3 linked regions of the Macaca mulatta genome follow. Each later gene encodes a partner of the first gene's protein in a complex. Links are inferred from orthologs where the notes say so. Each region holds a gene or a part of one and is shown in the gene's direction. Other genes may lie near its edges. The genes, in order: RANBP9, GID4 and ARMC8.

Region 1 (6,238 bases):
CTGGAAGCCATATTTTACCTCCCAACTTGGAAACATTTGTGAGCATAAGAGTTGAACTATTTGAATTAAAACCAAATTGGTGTGTTTTCAACAGGATGCATTCAGTTTACTAGCATATTCAGATCCCTGGAACAGCCCAGTTGGAAATCAGCTTGACCCGATTCAGAGAGAACCTGTGTGCTCAGCTCTTAACAGTGCAATATTAGGTAAGTAAAGCCAAATAAGGCACAATTTCAACTAGATTCTCTGAAAATTTAAGAGAGGGTGTTTGTACTGGCATTTATACTTTGGTAAAATCATAAGGAGAATGTTTTCTATATTTTTTAAATATAAAAATACCTAAAATACAGAAACCCCCCTCCTTTAATTCCAGATTCAAATGGATTTAAATAGAATAAAAACAGTAAAATGGGGTACAACTTGGGATGTTTGGGAAATAGAAGTTTTTTTGTGCATGTATGTAAGCATTTCTGGTAGCCACGAATGTCTACTCTCATTTGAATGAGAGATTTGGTGGTTCTTTTGTATAATTCAAACTATTGCCCTACCAGAGACATTCCTTACAGCCCTCTGTAGTGAAAGGCATTTTCTGCTACTGATTTCTAGGCTAGCAATTGCATGGCATTCTCTAGTTTGGCTGTTGTAGAAGGAATCGGAGAATGTTAACAAGAACATAGATTAATAATTGTCACAAGAGTTAGGCTAGAAGGGAACAGGGTACATTTGAAGAAAATCAAAGTCAAGAAATAGAGGTTTTGGTGGAGAATGAGAATGGAAATAAGGGAGTGAAGAGCTTGAGTATCAGAGAAGCTCAAACTGATCCAGTAGAAGGCAGGATTCCTACCTGGTGCTCCCCTGTTACCTTGTTCCCCACCATTTTGCTTGAGCTATTTGCAATGGGTAGCGGCAGCCTAAGCCACGGGTATTACAGCTCCCACCATGCTTATGAATACGAGCACAAGGGCCTTCCAGGTGACTTGTGAGTACCCTGCAGGACCAAGCCTTGATGTCAAATTCTATTTGCATTTATATTAGCCAGATTCAACTACGTACCCTCACCCAATAAAAAGGGTGGGTGAGGAAGAGAAAAGCAATTTAAAAGGTGAGGCTTAGCCAGGGGTGAGCATGAAGTGCGAAACTCTAATTCGATGTTCCTGTTTGGTTGCCATTCCTATGAGCAACTCACTGTAGAGTGTATGATTCTAGTATTTATATACTGAACAAATACTTTTTGTATGAATTGTGTAACTGCACATATTGTGCATTTCTATATAAATGTGGTATGGTCGATTGTTTACATAAAACAAATTTGAGTTTTGGGCAGTTCTCATCAAAGGTAATTTGCGTAAAGAGTGAGTTTTTATTTGACTTTGAGTCTTAATTCCCAGGTAATTGGGACTCCAGTCTAGTTTAGAAGTCTGTGCTGTGCTGTTTGGCCCTGCAAGGTTCAGAAACTTTTAGTCACATATTTCAAATTATTTTAGGAAGATGAGGGCAGTGCCACAAAAAGTAGATGAAAGAGTAGTTTAGATAAGGAGACTTGCAAACGAGGGCCAGGACTCTTATGGCAAGAATGTAAAGGAAGCAAGGAAAAGCATTCATATTTGAGCCTCAGTCTGTTTCTTTGCCCTTAGAAAATTTATTGATTTGTTAAGGATCAGTACTGAAGTTTGGGAATAGGAGTAGTGTCCTTAGTGCTGTAGTTCTCTGAAATTTAGGATTTGTATATAAATGTGAATTTTCTTTGGTTAATGTGTTATATTTTCATTGGTTCTACAAAATTCATTTAGCTCCATTGATAAAAGTAACTTAGTAATAATGCTGGAATTGTACAGAAAATTATGGTTTACTATAATTGTCTTTTCGAAGTTACCATATTGTAGGTAATCATTAAGACCTAATTATTAGATGATACTAATCTTGGAAAGAATTTGAGAAAAAGTGACCCGTTTTCTTTAAGTTTAATTTCTTGAGTTCTTCAAGGGAATTTAATTGAGCACCATTATCTATAGACACATGTACTCTGACATATTGTTCTATATTATGTAGAATCAGCTATAAATAGTGCTTAATCTTATTAATATAAATGCATGTGATTCCTATAAAATTAATGACACAATTATTAAATTGCTATAGATGGGTATGTATGTTTATAAATACCATGCTATTTATGTAGGGCTATCTGTATATAGTGTTATGAAAATTTCATATATCCAAAAAAGTTAAAGATGTATCACCAAATGCTTCCTTTGACCAAAATAAAATTTTAAAAATACTCCCTGTAGATGCTTGCCTTTGAGCACGGTCTTCCCTGTAAACCCTCAAGACACCATACTTTCTCACCAGTCTACATGCCTTTTTTGCACACTTTTATTCTTAATCCTGTTTTTGTTTTGTTTTCTAAGTCCTGAATTTGCTTATTTTTGATATTATGCTTTTTCCCTTTTGCAAATTTCCTCTTCTTTCTCCCACCATCAATTTGCATCCTCTGAACCAAGAGTGGAGTTAAACCATATGGAGCCTTCCTAGCCATGTGTCACTGTTTTTGCCCTTTGTTGTCAACTGTGCCTATAAAGAACTGATCAGTAGTTTTATTGATTAGTTGGACATTGCCTTCTCATAAAGAGAAACTACCAGCTTCTGAGTCTGGCTACTTTTACCATTAGTTCATGGTTTTTCATCTCTGGCAAGGAACAAATTTTGGTAATTATTGCATTTGTACTACAAATGTCTGACAAAGGACCCTGAAAACTTATTGGCATTTTTTAAAAATGTCTGAACTGTCCATTGTAAATTAGCACCTCCAAAACTGCAGGGTGGCTCTACTGTATGTTCTCTCACTGTCACCACCAACACCTACTCCCCACCAGCCCAAATAACATTACCTATATATGCCTTGGAGATGGCTAGGCAGCCTCAGTTTGGTCCCATCCACAGAGGTGGAAGAACCCATCAGTGGAAACTCATAATGAAAACCTGTTGCCTTTTTAGTTTTAGTATCAGCTGACTTTGATCAACCAGAAGGGAAATAATTCCTTACTCTCCACTCCAAATATCAAATAAAAAGTTGTACCTTTCCAAAACATCATAGTTAATATGGAAATCAGTTTTTTAGTATCTGATACTTTAAAAATCTGATTCTGCAAGAGTTTATCTTATCGCTGGATAGACAATACCCATACTACCTTGTCAGAATAGTATGTCCAAGGCATCTTTTGCTTAGGAACCTTCATTTGCTGATATTTCAGAGTGGTATGGGAGTGGTAGTTTTTAAAGTCATGCAGTATTCTCCTGATTGAAATGTTTTTTAAAATGTCTTGCTAATTGCTGTTTTCATTTTTAAATTATTTTTCTTCAGAAACCCACAATCTGCCAAAGCAACCTCCACTTGCCCTAGCAATGGGACAGGCCACACAATGTCTAGGACTGATGGCTCGATCAGGAATTGGATCCTGCGCATTTGCCACAGTGGAAGACTACCTACATTAGCTATGCATTTCAAGAGCTCACACTTATATTGTGGCATATAGTCAACATGGAAGTAGACCAGCTCTGCTGATTTGAAATTTAGATTTTTTAAATTATGTACTGGGGACAGGTTTTTGTCGCTTTACATTGCTTCCTAGTTTACAGCATGATGCAAATGATTTTCTAACTTAGTGTTAGGAGAAATTATTTTCCATCTTTAACCTCTTAGTTGTCTAAGAGTTAAATATTACTGAATTTCAGACGTTCAAATTGATCATCACAAATCCTTTAAAACAATTACCTAAAAGAAACCAAAAATCCTGCCTTCTTTGTGGGGGAGGGGGGAGAGAGGGGAAGGAAATGGAACAAGTTGTGTTTGTGTTAGCATGTGGGTGATGTAAACTTCAAATTGGGAGATGTTCCGACCCCCACTCCCATATAAGCATTCAATCAGTGTAACTTGCAAAATGCATAAACATCCGACAGTTTGAATTTATAGTGTTGATGGAAGAAATCATTTTTAATGTGTACTGTAAAACTTGAAATACTCAGGAGCTGAGTGAATATGTTTGTTGCTACTTACAATCCCAACCTGTTAGTCCCAGTAGTTTTGTTTTAACATGGTCTTTTTCAACTTTGTTTCCTGTTTAACTACAGATGACTTCTGTTGTAGACTCACAAGTTTAACTGTTGTATTATAACAGTATTACATGTCAACGGTGTGGTTATGACCTTTATTTATATAAAAACCAAATATTTAGTCAATTTACCGTGTCTTAATTTAATCTTTGTACACCTTCCATTTTTAAGTGCTTAAATGAGTACTATATTGCAATAAAATGTAGTGATATAATTAACCAGCCATTAAAAATTTACTTCTACAGATACAGTGTCAATTGAGTTTATATATTAGGTACTTGCATACTTTTTATGATTAATATGAAAATTAGAGCAATTAAAATTAATGGTTTCTACAATTAATCTGAGTTCTACAACCTAAAACTGCCTTCAGTTTACTGGCATCCCTGGATTAGGGTTAAACCTGATATTATGGGTGACACAGAAAGGCAACAGGAAATTAAATTCATTTTTTTCATATTCATAATATGGCATATGAGACTCACCAGGCAACCCCAGACTGGTTAAAAGTAAAAATTTAAACGCTGTTAGTTAGCTATATTTTGTCCACTGAATCTTTAACAGCAAATTGTCTAAGGGCTGCAGTTGGAGACTTTTCTGGAATGTCCATTTCTCCTTTTTGTCCGTGCCATTTTTGCCACCCCTCCCACCCCCCAGTCGGGGAGAGTAGACGAGGTGCTATTGCTGGTATGAGTATGGCTTGAATTCAGTTAAATACATTAAAAAGAAAATTCCTTCTTAAACCACTTTTTCCTCTAGGATTGCAAGGCACAATTCTACTCCAGAAGAATGAAATGTGGTTGAGTAATTCCTCAAATAGGTTTATGATTTTTATAATGATCCTTTAAAATTATCTACCAATAATTTATTAGATAAATTCTATACATACAAAGTACAGATTCTTCATTTAGCATTGATTTACTTCTTAGTTTTCATCTTTCTGACCATCCACCGTCTTTTAAACCTCTTGGCATTTTGTTTTTTCTGGATTCCTAGAATAGAAAGTTGTGCAGTAAGAGTATTAGAGAAACATAATTCAAAATTTTTATAATTCTCTACATGAATGTAATTACTAAAACTGGGTGGGCTTATTATACATTAGATGTATATACATACTACATTGACCTGTTTTTCACAAGTTATATAAGCCATTATAAGGGGCATATAATTATGAACTATCTCCTTCAAAAGAACATGATTCAACATATAAAGCTATTAAAAGACAGGAGAATAAAGCTGGATCTTACCCCAAGCATTATTCAAAAACTGGACAGCAGCCTTTTTCACTGGTGACCTCTTGTTGGCAAGAGACAGGAACTTATTTACTAGAAATGAAAGGTATTTATCATTTCATAGTTTTATTTGCAGTAAAAAGTGAGGAAAATAGTCCATAAAAAAATTACCAGTAGTCCTGTTGGTTCCTGGCCCATATAATGAATTATGTATGAAGGCTTGTGCCGCTTGTTGCCTTGAATCTCTCAGATCTTGGTCTTTTAGCCTGACGGCCAAGTAGCTTTTATTCTGGCTGTTCATCAATATAAAAGGTTAAAAAAGAATTAATACATGCTTGCTTTCTCTCCCCCCCACCCCCGCCCGAGACAGAGTCTCACTCTGTCACTCAGACTGCACGATCTCAGCTCATTGCAACCTCTGCCTCCCAGGTTCAAGCAACTTGCCTGCCTCAGCCTCCCAAAGTGCTGGGATTACGGGCATGGGCCACTGCACCCGGCCTACATGCTTGCTTTAATATATTTTTATCATTTGTCTCACTGTGATAAATGAAACTAATTTTGTATATGCACAGATAGAATAAAACTAAATTACAGGACTACAAGAAACAGACTAACACTCATATTTTAGTAGAGCACACCAGCACGCCCAGTTACTTTTTTTATTTTGTGTAGAGACTGGGCTTTACCATGTTGCCCAGGCTGGTCTTGAAATCCTGGACTCAAGCAATCCACCTGCTTCAGCCTCCCAAAGTGCTGGGATTACAAGTGTGAGCCACCGTGCCCAGCCCAAAACTGATTTTTCCACAGAGAATCCAATCTGAAATTACTACTAATTAAAATATTTCCCATGTTAGCCAATACTTTAACTCTCTTAGAGGTCTCCTTTATATCCCAAATAA
Region 2 (7,442 bases), on another chromosome or scaffold:
GAGAAGCTAAACGTCTTGTCTAGGTGACAGACAACTGGTAAATAGCAGAGACAAGACTTCTAGTCTTGACTTCATCAGGCAGTCGCATTCAGCGAGATATGCTGAATAGATAGGTTTCTCCAGAATACCTCCCACTCTGGGAGTCAACAGACCTCTGATAAGCTGGTGCAGAACTAAACTGCCACAACAACCTCACAGAGGTCTTCTTGTTGCAACATCTCCTTCTCCAACACCTCAGTGACCCTTTCCTAAACTCCTCCTCTCCCTCTGATAACCTTCAATGGCATGGCCATTCCTAAGTGGCCAAGTTCAATCAGCTTGCTGACTGAAGTGTTCATTGAGAAGAACCCACTGGGGTTTAATCTTCTACTACTCCAAACACGCACAAGTATCTCACAACTGGTAATGTCTTTAAAGAGCACACATGGGCCTGATTTCTGCACCTCCCTCCTCATTCATTCATTCCTATTTTCTTTCACATTTGACTGCCTACCATGTGCCAGGTACTTCCAAGAGCCTAAACTAGTAAGTTTAGGTACTATCTACCATGTGCCAGGTAATTCCAAGAGCCTAACTAGTAAGTTTAGGCTTTTTAGAAAGGAAAAGAAGGCAGTAGATCAAGTGCCACCATTATGTAAAGTGAGCATCCACTAATCTAAATTAACCCTTCGTGGTCGGGCGTGGTGGCTCATGCCTATAATCCCAGCAGTTTGGGAGGCTGAGGCGGGCGGATCACCTGAGGTCAGGAGTTCATGACCAGTCTGGCCAACATGGTGAAACCCCATCTCTACTAAAAATACAAAATTAGCCTGGTGTGGTGGTAGACACCTGTAATCCCAGCTACTTGGGAGGCTGAGGCAGGAGACTTGCTTGAATCTGGGAGGCGGAGGTTGCAGTGAGTCAAGATTGTGCCATTGCACTCTAGCCTGGGTGACAAGTGCAAAATTCCATCTCAAAATAAATAAATAAATATATATATACACACACATTAAAAAATTAATTAATTAACCCTTTGCTTTTTGCCAACTTGGTGAACTCCCGAATGTGTCCCCTTTGCTATGCCTCCCCAGGATGCCCTTCCTTCCTCTTCTTTACTGGCCCTTCATGGCCCATTTCCAGGCCCTTCCCCTGAGTCCTACAGGTGAAACTTCAGCTCCCTGCTGCATCCAGCCCCCTTCCCCATTTCTATAAAGTTATAGAACTTGGACAGGTGCAGTGGCTCACGCCTGTAATCCCAGCACTTTGGGAGGCCGAGGCAGGCAGATCACAAGGTCAGGAGTTCGAGACCTGTCTGGCCAACATAAACCCCATCTCTACTAAAAATACAAAAATTAGCTGGGCCTGGTGGCAGATGCCTGTAGTACCAGCTACTCAGGAGGCTAAGACCAGAGAATCACTTGAACCTGGGAGGCGGAGGTTGCAGTGAGCCGAGATCGCGCCACTGCACTCCAGCCTCCACGACAGAGTGAGACTCTGTCTCAAAAAAAAAAAAAAAAAAGAAACAAAGAAAAAAAAAAAAGAACTCAATAGCCAGAAAGATCCTCAAAGACAACCTAGTACTTCAACTCATGCAGAAAAATTAGGAAGTAGTTGCATGCCCAAGATCACACAGACCTCAGAGGTTTTGCCAGTATCAGATCCTAGATTTGCACTCCTGCCACAATGCCAAACTGTCTGTGAAGTTCTCAAGTTTCTAAAGCAGGCAGTGTTAGGGAAAAGTCCCTCATATCTTGCTGTCACCCTGGACATGTTCTAGATACCCAACACTCTCCCACCTTCTTGCTGAACTCCTACTCATCTATCATGGCTCAGCTTAAATGCCCTTTCACCCAAGACCCATTCTAAACCCTGAACAGCCCCAAGACGGGAGCAGGTGATTCTCCGTGTTTTCACAGCTTCTTTGTATGTCCCTTATCAGGATATTATACCCTTTGCACTCAACAGTGAACATCATTCAGGTGGGTCTTTTTCTTCTTTAACTGAGCTTCTCTACCAATACATACAGGTGGGTCTTAAAGACTACCGTGTCTCCTGCCTCCAGCACTATAAAACTAATTGAATGGTGGGAGGGTGTTACTGCTTTTCATTCACTGAAATGAATCATTCTCACTCTTACCCTAACACCACTCACCATCAGCAATGAAAGAACCACTACGTCTGAGCTTCATCAGAGTTGGAGGTGGAGGTGACTCCACAGTCAAAGGTGGAGATGTCAATTTCTATTTAGCAGAGAAGGCTGCAGATGGCAGAGGTTGTGGTAGGAGGGAAAGTCAGGAAACCTGCAGCTGAAGTGCCCAGGATGGAGGAATGAAGGTCTAGGTTCTAGGTCCCTTCTGTGCAGGTATTGTGTTGGGCAGTGGAGACACGGAAAGCAGTCAGACACCTCAAATCTCTGAGACAGTCTGTCTGTAACCTAGGCGAAGTCCTGATTCAGAGCCCAAACTTCCCCTTTTGAAAACAAGGATGACACCTTATTTCCTAGGGAGGGCAGCCATAAGCTTTGAGAAAAGCTGCACAGGCCAAATATCAATTACTGTATCGTGCGTCACTCGCTGTTCCCTCTCGGGTCGTCTGCCCTTGTCTGGGCTTCACTTTCTCATCTGTAAAAAGACTTGACCGGCTTGCATAACCTCATGAGCCTGAACCCTGCCTCAGTCACCTCGCTTTGCATAGCCGAAGCCCGAAGCCCACCTTACCCCAGCTCGGCCCCTACCCAAAAGAGAACGTGTCATAGTCTTACCTGTCGGCGGGGCGTAAGCCCGGGCTGGAGACGGGATGGTTGGCCCCGGACTCATAGAAGCGCAGGGACCACCCGCAGGCCGATTCAGGAGACGGCGTCCCCCGTCCCGCAGCCGGAGGCAGCTCCTCCACATCGCGCCCGAGGGTCTGGGAAGATGCGCGACGCGAAACCTGGAGCAGGAAACACAGAGCGAAGGGACCCCCAAAACCGCACGTTCGGGCTGTACGGAAACCTCTCACCGCTTCCTCAAAGCCCTCAGCCTCCCTTGGACGCCGCCATCTTCCGCATGACACCAACGGCGCGCCGTCGCCTTCGCAAACCTCCTGCGCACACCCCCAGTCAATCAGCATCACAAACGCACCTCGCCCCGCCCCCTCCACGCCGCGCCTCGGCGAGGAGACTACAAGTCCCAGCGGGCCGCTCGCGCACCCCGCCACGTGTTTTCTCCTCCCGCCAATGGGCGGAAGCGCCGCGTGAGCCTGCTCCCGCCCCCGAGGCTCGCCCGAGCCAATCGGAAGGGGCGGGGTGTGTGTGTGCGTGTGTGAGTGTGTCTGTGAGTGTCTCTGTGTGTGTATGTGTGCGCGAGGGCAAGTCGGGAGGGGGACCCAGCTCAGGACTGGGAGGCCCTGCTCGCAGGTCCCTGGGTCCCGGTGGCGGCCAGAGCGCTTGGTCCGCAGGCAGCGGGCGGGTGGTCGCCCCTCCCGCCCCCACCCCGCGCGTGCGCGCCCCGGCCTCTCCCTCCCCGCCACCCTCCTCGGCTCCCGCGCGGCGGCGGCGGTTCCTCTCCCACTCCCCCCAGCCCTGGCTCCGGGGGACCCCGCGATGCCCGTCCGCACCGAGTGTCCCCCGCCGGCCGGTGCCTCGGCTGCCTCCGCGGCCTCACTCATCCCGCCGCCGCCCATCAACACCCAGCAGCCCGGCGTGGCCACCAGTCTGCTCTACAGCGGCTCCAAGTTCCGCGGCCACCAGAAGAGCAAGGGGAACTCGTACGACGTAGAGGTGGTGCTGCAGGTGAGCGCCGGGCCGGGCCGGGGCCCGAGGGCCTCCTCGCGGCGCTCACGGGCCGTGCCCGCCTCGGCTCCTCGAGCCCGCAGCCGCGGAACAGGCCCTCGCCGCCGGGGCCTCCTGCACCCGGCGCTTCCCACCCGGGACCTGCCCAGCCTGTGTCTCACACTCTCCGAGCCCCAGCCCTGACCTGCCCCTTCGGACCCGGAGCCCGTCGTGACCGGCTCCCGGCGGACCCCGAACACTCCCAGACTTGAAGCCCGTGACCGGCCCGTCTGGGATCCGGAAGCCCCTCATGACTAGGGAAAGGCCTGGGTCCTTCCTCCCCATGACCTGTCGTCCCTAGATCAGGGACTGCCACCAGCCCTTTTCAGACCCTGAAGCACTCTCCATTGGTTTCACCAGACTCGGGACCCTCCCCGTGTCTGGGCCCATGTCAGATTCTCTCAGACCTGAGACATGCCCTCCCGCCCCTTCCTCAGTCCCAGGAATCCGCAGACCCTGGGGTCTTCCTGCTCCTGAGATCTCCTTAGGAGGGCTTCATCAGACCCCCAGACGGGGGAGCGCCTAACCCACAACTGACTGGTCAGGCCCTGGCCCCACCTCAAGACCAGGCACTCACTCCCTGAGTGCCGCTCACAGTCTGCTGGGATGTTGCCTCCTGGGTCCCCTGTTCCACTCACTGCTTCTGTCTTTTCATGGTCCAGGCACCCAACTCCTTCCAGCTTCTCTACCCCCAGGCCTCCTGCCCCTGCTCTGGGACCACTTGCGGTCTTTTCCCAGTCTTCCTGGCCTCTATCCAGACTCCCCCATCCCATACCTTCGTCTTGCCTGATCCTGGTTCCAGGGGACCCTCTTTCCTATTCTTAACTGTTCTCAGCGGCACAGGGCTTCCTCTCAGTCTCTGGTACCCACGTACTGGGAAATCTAACTCACCCAATTTTAGTTCATGTCCAGTCGCTTCCCCCCATTTGACCTGGATTCCTAAATACCTGCTGCCAGTCCCTGATCAGCTTCGGAAGTACAGCTTCACCTGTCTGGGCCTTTCCCACACCTCACTCCTCTCAGGCTTGACACTTTCTGCCAGCTGAAATGGAGTAGCAGTGGTGAATACTCCTTTTTTTTTTTTTTTTTTTGAGACGGAGACTCGCTCTGTCGCCCAGGCTGGAGTGCAGTGGCCGGATCTCAGCTCACTGCAAGCTCCGCCTCCCGGGTTTACGCCATTCTCCTGCCTCAGCCTCCCGAGTAGCTGGGACTACAGGTGCCCACCACCTCGCCCAGCTAGTTTTTTGTATTTTTAGTAGAGATGGGGTTTCACCGTGTTAGCCAGGATGGTCTCGATCTCCTGACCTCGTGATCCGCCCGTCTTGGCCTCCCAAAGTGCTGGGATTACAGACTTGAGCCACCATGAATACTCCTTTTTATCTCCCTTCCCTACTAAACTCTTCCTCCTCTATACCTACCCCTGCCTGCCCGAGGACCCCTTTCCTTTGCCCTTTTTTCCTTAGTCTGACACCTCGTCTGCCAGGCTGTTCCCAGAAGCCCCTCCAAACACCTGTCCCTCTGAAAGGCACTGTGTGCTGCCCCACTGCCCCCCTCCCCGCCCCCCGGGTGTGAGGGTGGAATGTACCGTATATCTGTTCCTCAAGCTTTCCTTTTGGTCAGTTAAAACAAATCTTAGTTTCACTTCTGAAGAGTAGGTCTCCCATCCAAAAGACAATGAGGGTCCCTTTTCTGCTAACTGCAGAGCACTCATCACTCTTTTATTCTCATATTGCTTTGTGGGAATAAATCGTCTTCTCTGCTTACTTGAAACAGCATCATCATGTTAATCATATCTTTGGGCTGTAAAGTTCTATCATGAACCACGATATTTATTATAATGGAAAAACGATTGTGGCTGAAATATTTTTATCTTCATAACTGTATGCCTAATGCGGTGATCTTCTTCTCTTTTTCTTAAAATGTGAGAGTCGAGTATGAAGGTACTGGGGTTTTTTGGTTTGTTTTACACCTAATCATAGAATTTTGGAGGTGAGATCCCTGGGTGGGTCACGTTTGGAATGATCTTGGATTTGTCCCTGTTGCTCAGTTTGATGGTTTCTGATGTAGTAGGGGACAACTGGCAGGATAGCCAGGCATCAAAGAGGAGTCTGCTTTGGCTACTGCAGCAACTGCTGCTCCCTTCCATCATTAAGGTGTCACTTCTGAGCTCCTTTCAGAAGAATCATGAACCAGTGGAAGCTGTGGTTGAGTTGGGGCAGGGCTGACAGGTCTCAGGCAGCCCAGAGCAGAAACCTGGTGGATGACTGGGAGCCACTTGAGTAGGATGTCTGATGGTGGGGGTGGTGGTCATGCCAATGAATGCTGCCCTACATCTGGATTGGTGAGCTGCTTGGTCATCATCACGACTAGTCAGTGGCATGTGAATTGCCCCATCATCTGGTTTTTCAGCCAGGACTAGTTTGTCAGACACAGCCTTCTTAGACTTACTTCTGCCTTTTATAACTCAGCTTCTTTTTGTTTCTTCTCATTTTCTTTTCTTTCTTTTTGTATCTTTATTTAGATATAATTCACTTATTTAAAGTGTACAATTCAGTAGTTTTTAGTATATTCACAGTTGTTTAACCACCACCACAACCTAATTTTAGAATATTTTTGTCACCCCAAAAGGAAACCTTGTAACCCTTAGCCATAACCCCCCTTCCAATGCTAGGCAACTGCTCATCTATTTTTGTTGTTGTTTGTCTATTCTGGACATTTCATGTAATCATACAGTATTTGTCCCTTTGAGAGTGGCTTCTTTCACTTAGCATAATGTCCTCGAGGTTCAGCCATATCGTAATATGTATCAGCACTTATATTGCATTGTTCATTGTAACAATTGTCCATTGAATGGATATACAATATTTTGTTTATCCAGTGATCAGTTGATAGACATTTGGGTTGTTTTCACTTCTGGCTACTATGAATAATACTACTATGTACATTTATGTACAAGTTTTTATGTGGAGTATATTTCATTTCTGTAGATAACTACCTGGGAGTGGAATTGCTGGGTCACATGGTAACTCTGTTTTAACATTTTGAGAAACTGCCCCTGCATTGTTTCACATTTCCACCAGCAGTGGGTGAGGGTTCCAGTTTCTCCGCATCCTCACCAACACTCACTGTTCATCTTTTTTATTGTAGCCGTCCTAGTGTTTTTGAAGTGGTCTCTCATTGTAGTCTTGATTTGAATTTCTATAATTACTGTGATGTTGTGCATCTTTTCATGTGTTTTTTGTGTTGTTGTTGTTGTTGTTGTTTTGGAGCATTTTCTTTTTTGTGATTCTAATTTAAAGAGTTCCTCAAAGCTTTGTGAGTTTCTGACTGGGTCTCCTCTCCACCCCCAACTTACTGTGACTTCTCTTTCCTCCTCTGCCATCTAAGAAGCCAGCAGTAGAAGGGAGGCCTGGTCGCTGTGAAAGGAATATTTAAAAGAGCAGCCGTTGGACACAGCTGTGCTGTGAGACCTTCTTGCTAAACATGTGCCCTGTTATCTTTCTTGAGATGCTCGCCTGCCATTTGGCAAAAGCTGTATGCATTGTGGTGTGTTTGAGTTCACCAACCATTATCAAGATCAATTTGGGCAGAAATAGAGAGACACTTGGTTGAATGGAGGCCAAGCTGAAATTCTGATTCTTGAGCATGTGAT
Region 3 (6,970 bases), on another chromosome or scaffold:
AAAAACATGGCATGGTTTCAGATGTTGGGAATGGGTTCATTTGGTAATGTTAGGGACCCCTCATTTCTGCTTAATTAAGAAGAATGGAGAGGAAAAACTGTGGAAATATTAGGGTTGGGAGTTCTGGAATAGAAAGCACTCAGAATGGCACTTAGCCTACACAGACTCTAGATGGGCTGGACAAATGAATGTGCTGCATTAGTATAGGCAGAACACATTAAGAGAAAGGGAGATGATGAAAGTAAACAACAAGCTGGTAGGTTAAGGTCCATATGCTGATGATTATGAACTAAAGCCTCTAAAGAAAACAGGCCTCCATGAGGATGCAGGAGCTTAGAAATACAATCTCTTACTAACTTTAACTTTGCTAATTGAGCCTTTGATATCATATAGCTTTATATTCATGTGTCAGAACTTGCTAACAACCTCAGTAAACTTCATTCAGTTCAGTCCCATAAACAACAACAAAAAAATTGCTACTTATTTCTTGAAAACCATATAGAAGATCTGAGGGATACTTTACAGAGGGATAGGTCAGGCCTTGAAAAAAAGCCGTACCCTCAGGCACTGAGCTAATGGAAGAAAAACCAGGCATTCTCAGTGTTTGGCTCGACTTGTAAAAATGCCATTCAGAAACTTGTAGGGAAAATCTGCTTTTAACACATCACTAGTTGTTGCAGTATTTTTCTGCAATGATCAAAAAAGGCAATTGGAGACAAGGATTAATTGTTACCAGGTTCTTTAACGCCAGTAAATATGATTGGTGTTAGAAATATATGCTGACTCTAACATTTATTTGTTGATTTTTTTTTTTTTTTTTTTTGGAGATGGAGTCTCGGTCTGGCGCCCAGACTGGAGTGCAGTCTGATCTCTGCTCACTGTAACCTCCACCTCCCTGGCTGAAGTGATCCTCCCACCTTAGCCCCCCAAGTAGCTGGGACGACAAGTGCATGCCACCACAACTGGCTAATTTTTGTATTATTTGTAGAGATGGAGTTTCACCATGTTGTTCAGTCTGGTCTCAAACTCCTGAGTTCAAGCAATCTGCCTGCCTAGACCGCCCAAAGAGCTGGGATTACAGGCGTAAGTCAGCACGCCCAGCCGGGGAAGTATTTTTTTAAAGATTTTATTGGTAGTACTGGGTTTATTTTGAGCTATTTATTTTTTCTCTACATTTCCTTTTGAACCAACCACAAATTTGTGAGCCAATTGATCAGTGGTAGAGGTTCTCTTATTGTGGAATAGGGTTTTGCTCCTGGTGAAGTATAGTGCTCTGTGTAGCTAGAATAAAAAATACCTGAATATCTGAGAAATGTAAAAGATTTGTTGTTATTTTTTTAATCTCCTTAAGAGATAATTTTGCTTAAGCAAAAATAGTAACAATGTATTATGTTGTTTCTAAGCAATTTAAAAATATTATATAACAACAGCCCAAAAAATGAATGGGAAAATGGAAATACATACGTGAGGCTCTTAAAATACATATGCAATGGGCTAATATCACTTGAAGACTGACTGTGATAACTTAAAAGATGCATTGGAAAACAACAAAGGAATACAGTTAGTAAGACAATAAAGCAGATAAAATGAAATTATAAGAAATAAAGACATCAAGAAAAAAAAGAAAAAAGTGAACAACGTGTGATCCTTGAAACAAGGAGATAATGTTCTGTGGGCTGTTTTTTGTTGTTGTTGTTGTTGTTGTTTGTTTAACTCACTCCCTACTCCCAGAGCTGAGTGGGAAAGTGGCCTACATTCCTTTATATCCAAAGAATTGGTAGGTACCCTTTTTAAAAGAACTCAATTCTGTACTGGAAGTATTTTGCCGGTACTCAGGATATCTCTCACTTTCTACAATACTTGCCTGTTTTACAGCCCCCACGTTCACTCTGCACCTATCTCTATCCCTTCGTTAGTACTTTAGATGAAAAAAGGTTAGTGCTTTTACTTTGTCAAATCTGAGATATTGCATAATGAAGTAGAATGATCTTTGATTTTTTTCAGTGCTATCTCAACATACTTTATTTTTTTTTCCCCTTAATTCAGAGACATGAAAAATGCTGTAATTGGAAACAACAAGCAGAAAGCCAATCTCATTGTTTTAGGAGCTGTTCCAAGGTATATTTGCTGTCTCACCCCTTTCGTGCCATTCATACTAATTTCTAATGTATTTCTTACTTTCAATAATAGAACCCATTTTTTCCTGTATTGTCTATTTAATTCTTAAAATAAATCCTATTTTTAAAAATAAGCGTAAGTATTTACACCATCTCTAAGGAAAAAAATTATAAAGTAACAGAGAATGTAATAAGAAGTGAATGTGTTAATACTTGGAAGACCTTTGACCTGACGATAAAAGGGTTTGTTAGGTACATAGGCAATGTACAGCAGCTTAATACTTTCTTCTCCATTTCCTTAGAGCCTTGGCAGTTTTTTGTGTGAGTGGGTAATTTATTAGGAGTCTTAAGACCTTGTTGAAGTTAAAGGAAAAAAACCCTGCTTGATTTTTAATCCAGTTTCATTTTAACAATTTGCTGTTTTTTAAGTTAATGTAGGAAGTTTAGGAAGTTTAATTTCTTCTTTTGGTGACCTAATAAGCGTCCTTTAGGCAGGCAATGACAGTTATGTAACTTCCTCTTTACTTTTGCTCCTCAGAGCTAGTTTTCTGTGCAATTGCTGTTAGCTTTTCATTCAGAATTATTTATTATTTTGTTTTTTTTCCTCCTTATTTTCTGGTTTTGAAACAGAATTAATGGTTTAAATGTTTTAACTCACCACCCTCAAATGTATACTTTAGTAACTGTAAAGCTGTCAGCAGCCTTTCTTAGGGGATTTATGTTTGGTATATATAAATAGTACTTTATGGAGCATGAGGGTCCTATCTTAGAACATAAGGTAGATGGTTATAAGTGGAGACAGGTTAGGGTTTGGGGAGTATTTGTTTGGCAAGCTGGGCTGGAGTGGAAATGAGAGGATGTCTTCATTTTCCAAATGAGAAGTGGAGAAAGAAGAAATTTCCCTTGCTTGAGGAGCTGCACAAGGGCTCTGAATATTCCCTCTGGGCTCGATCTCTACAAACTCTGCACCACTGCTCTGGATTCAGAGCAGTATTGTTTGTAGTTTGAATTTAAGATCTGGCAGCACATGGCATTGAGAGTCTTCATATTTTGGAGACCCAACAGGAAGTGGTAGATGACGTGGACTCGATGATGCTGTTTCTACAGAGACCACTTGTAGACAACTTTCAGATTTACACTTTTTATAAACCCTGAGAATATGATAGTTCTTGTTTTCAAAACCTCTTCTAGATTTTTCCAGATGTTTCTTTAATTAGCAGATGAGATAAACAAATGACCATTCGATTCATATAAACTCAACCAACCGTATTTTTAGTATGTGGACCACACAGCCTTTTTTGGTCATATTGAGTCTTGTTTACATTTTTTAGTCTCTTTGTTTATTAATTTCCTTCTTTTTAGATTGTTGTACTTGCTTCAGCAAGAAACCTCAAGCACAGAGCTGAAAACTGAATGTGCAGTGGTGTTGGGAAGTCTTGCTATGGGTACTGAAAACAATGTCAAGTCTCTACTGGACTGCCATATTATCCCTGCCTTATTGCAAGGTACGTAGGGAAGCCATTTTTGCTCAAGTAAGGCTGAGAATCAGTTTGCAGTGCTTTAAATACTGGTTGAAAGGATTAGTCCTAAATCTAGTTTCTGTTAATAGGACTACTGTCCCCAGACCTGAAGTTTATTGAAGCTTGCCTCCGATGCCTGCGTACCATCTTCACCAGTCCTGTCACTCCAGAGGAGCTACTGTATACAGTGAGTTTTAGATGGATTTGAGACATTAGTTACATTTCACTAACAGCCTACTCCTAATTTGCTTAGCATCTTCAGACTTATCCTAACTGTGTTATGTAAAAAAGTCTCAGTTGGACATGGTGGCTCACACCTGTAATCCCAGTGCTTTGGGAGGCTGAGGTGGGAGGATTGCTTGAGGCCAGGAGTTCAAGACAAACCAGAATGACATAACAAGACTCCATCTCTCTCTCTCTTTTTTTTTTTGAGTTGGAGTCTTACTCTGTTGCCCAGGCCAGAGTGCAGTGGCACGATCTCGGCTCACTACAACCTCCACTCCCCCCCAGGTTTAAGCAATTCTCTGCCTCAGCCTCTGGAGTAGCTGGGATTACAAGTGTGTGCCACCATGCCTGGCTAATTTTTTGTATTTTTAGTAGAGATGGGGTTTCACCATCTTGGCCAGGCTGGTCTTGAACTCCTGACCTCGTGATCCACCCACCTCAGCCTCCCAAAGTGCTGGGATTACAGGTGTGATCCACCGTGCCTGGCAACAAGACTCCATCTCTACAAGAAAAAAATAAAAATAAATTAGCCTGGTGCAATGATGCATGCCTATAGTCCTAGCTACTCATGAGACTGCAGTGGAAGGATTGCGTGAGCCTAGGAGTTTGAGGTTATAGTAAGCTATGATGGTGCCCCTGCACCTCAGCCTAGGTGACAGAGTGAAATCCTGTCACTAAAAATAAAAAATGATAAAAGTCTCAGCTGGGTATGGTGGCTCACGCCTGTAATCCTAGCAGTTTAGGAGTTCAAGGTGGATATATTACCTGAGGCCAGGAGTTCGAGACCAGCCTGGCCAACATGGTGAAACTCCCATTTCTATTAAAACTGCAAAAATTAACCAGGCATGGTGGCACATGCCTGCAATGCCAGCTACTGGGGAGGCTGAGCCATGAAAATCACTTGAACCCAGGAGGAGACGTTGCAGTGATCTGAGATCACACCACCCTACTCCAGCCTGGGCGACAGGGCAGACTCTGTCTCTAAATAAGTACATGAATAAAGTTCTTGCTTATTTCCAAATATCAGATGCTCTCAGCTTTGCAAGAAAGTGAAAGACGGTCTCAGACTTTGAGGAATTTACAAGCTATTTTTAAAAAGACCCATTTTTATCTCTCTGTATGTAGAACTTAAGAGAAGTTTATTTTACGCTAGATGAATGATAGGGAGTTCAGCTGACTTTCAGTTGAAATCCAGCAGAGTAGGCTTTGCAGAGAAGCTAAAATTTAATCTGGGTTTTGAATAATGGATAAGACTTAGAGAAGTGGAGAGGAAGGCATGAGACCCTGTGCTTGGCCCAAATTCTTTTCTTCTGGCTTTTTTTTTTTTTTTGGAGATGGAGTCTCTCTCGCCCAGGGTGGAGTGCAGTGGAGGAATCTTGGCCCTGCAACCTCTGCCTCCTGAGTTCAAGTGATTCTCCTGCCTCAGCCTCTGAAAGTACTGGGATTACAGGCGTGTGAGCCACTGCGCCCGGCCTCTTCTAGCTATTTTTCAATATACAATAGATTATTGTAAATTACAGTCACTTTACATGGGGCTTTCTTACTGATAATTAGGCCAATATTTTTTTTTTTTTTTTTTTGAGACGGAGTCTCGCTCTGTCACCCAGGCTGGAGTGCAGTGGCCGGATCTCAGCTCACTGCAAGCTACGCCTCCCGGGTTTACGCCATTCTCCTGCCTCAGCCTCCCGAGTAGCTGGGACTACAGGCGCCTGCCACCTCGCCCGGCTAGTTTTTTGTATTTTTTTTAGTAGAGACAGGGTTTCACCGTGTTAGCCAGGATGGTCTCGATCTCCTGACCTCGTGATCCGCCCGTCTCGGCCTCCCAAAGTGCTGGGATTACAGGCTTGAGCCACCGCGCCCGGCCCCTAGGCCAATATTTTTAAACACTCTTATTCACAGTTCACAGCAAGAAGCATATTTTCCCCTGCCTCACTATACATGTCAATTTGTATATGTGTGTGTATATGTGTGCATGTATGTATGTGTATGTGAAAGAATCCTAAGACAAGTTTCATGACATATTTCCACAGATGTAATGCCTTCTGGTTTCTATGCCATCATTTTTCATTCTTTAAAAAAATGGTGGTTGTGATTATCTGAGCTAACACAACGAATCATATTGTCAGATTATACACACAGGAGTCAGAGATCTTATCCAGAATCAGGCTTTATAAATGTTTCAAGACTATAAGTAATCAAGAGGAAGAGGCAAAGCAAGCATGGAGAGGAGACATGTCACATGGCTGCCTAGTCTGTCCTTCCTACATCAGACACATACTCTTCTGGCCCTTAATGATACATAAGGTGGTCAGTAGGTGAGATTTATGGGTCACCTCACACAGTAGGGAGCACCTACAGTATGAAACACATACATATATATATATATTTTAATTAAATTAAATTAAATTTATTTTTGAGATGGAGTCTTGCACTGTTGCCCAGGTTGGAGTGCAGTGGCTCGATCTCGACTCACTGCAACCTCCACCTCCCAGGTTTAAGCAATTCTCCTGCCTTAGCCTCCCAGGTAGGTGGAATTACAGATGTGCACCACCATGCCCGGCTAATTTTTTTTTGTATTTTTAGTAGAGACGGGGTTTCACCATGTTGGCCAGGCTGGTCTCGAACTCTTGACCTCCGCCCGCCTAAGCCTCCCAAAGTGTTGGGATTACAGGCATGAGCCACCGCTCCTGGCCTAATGTCTTTATTTTATACCTCATGGTTTTATGTGACATTCTTCAGGGAGTCATGCCTCATAAATCTATAGAGTGTTTGAGGTTGCACTAGAATTATGTGGTGGGCTTGTTAAACAGGGATTGCTAGACTCCACCTCCAGTTTCTGATCCAGTGAGTCTTGGGTGTGGCCTGAGAATTTGCATTTCTGACAAATTTCCAAGTAACTTAGATACTGCTGCTCTCAAAGTTCTTTCTTTGAGAACTGCTGGTTTACTGTAAACATCTTGCTCAAAGGATCCCATAGAGGACTTAGTAAATATCAATTTATTTTCCTGTAGTTCATATTGTAATGTTTGCAAAGAGAGTAAGCCAGTCACCTGTCTTTTTTACCCTGGAAGTTTCTCACCTACCCTCAATCCCATAATAAGGGGAGAA

The links.
Region 2: the proteins of RANBP9 (region 1) and GID4 are in contact, whole or in part, in a cryo-EM structure (PDB 7NSC), measured with the Homo sapiens proteins. The link is inferred for Macaca mulatta from reciprocal best matches to the Homo sapiens genes RANBP9 and GID4. Residues at the interface, in NP_005484.2 of Homo sapiens: Ser223, Lys224, Gly225, Arg226, Asp227, Gly228, Tyr229, Met230, Gly256, Asp257, Thr274, Phe275, Thr276, Thr277; in NP_076957.3 of Homo sapiens: Leu187, Arg189, Asp194, Glu195, Asn216, Asp218.
Region 3: the proteins of RANBP9 (region 1) and ARMC8 are in contact, whole or in part, in a cryo-EM structure (PDB 7NSC), measured with the Homo sapiens proteins. The link is inferred for Macaca mulatta from reciprocal best matches to the Homo sapiens genes RANBP9 and ARMC8. Residues at the interface, in NP_005484.2 of Homo sapiens: Tyr271, Gly298, His299, Ser300, Leu301, Gly302, Ile303, Asp337, Asp340, Tyr341, Arg343, Glu344, Thr347; in NP_001350870.1 of Homo sapiens: Gln245, Arg246, Asp247, Val277, Leu278, Lys279, Ile317, Ile320, Thr321, Asp322, His323.

The regions. Positions count from the first base shown.
Region 1 is NC_133409.1:169,494,231-169,500,468, forward strand, and holds the end of RANBP9 (ran-binding protein 9), read left to right. Parts: intron 1-94; coding exon 95-206; intron 207-3,358; coding exon 3,359-3,489; 3' UTR 3,490-4,351; downstream 4,352-6,238. Other genes in the region: NOL7 (nucleolar protein 7), read right to left, coding at 5,026-5,099, 5,355-5,432, 5,511-5,632. UniProt on the Homo sapiens protein: May act as scaffolding protein, and as adapter protein to couple membrane receptors to intracellular signaling pathways. Acts as a mediator of cell spreading and actin cytoskeleton rearrangement.
Region 2 is NC_133421.1:19,604,917-19,612,358, forward strand, and holds the start of GID4 (glucose-induced degradation protein 4 homolog), read left to right. Parts: upstream 1-3,151; 5' UTR 3,152-3,313; coding exon 3,314-3,751; intron 3,752-7,442. Other genes in the region: ATPAF2 (ATP synthase mitochondrial F1 complex assembly factor 2), read right to left, coding at 2,741-2,873.
Region 3 is NC_133407.1:41,218,629-41,225,598, forward strand, and holds part of ARMC8 (armadillo repeat-containing protein 8), read left to right. Parts: intron 1-2,046; coding exon 2,047-2,118; intron 2,119-3,479; coding exon 3,480-3,622; intron 3,623-3,726; coding exon 3,727-3,824; intron 3,825-6,970. UniProt on the Homo sapiens protein: Component of the CTLH E3 ubiquitin-protein ligase complex that selectively accepts ubiquitin from UBE2H and mediates ubiquitination and subsequent proteasomal degradation of the transcription factor HBP1.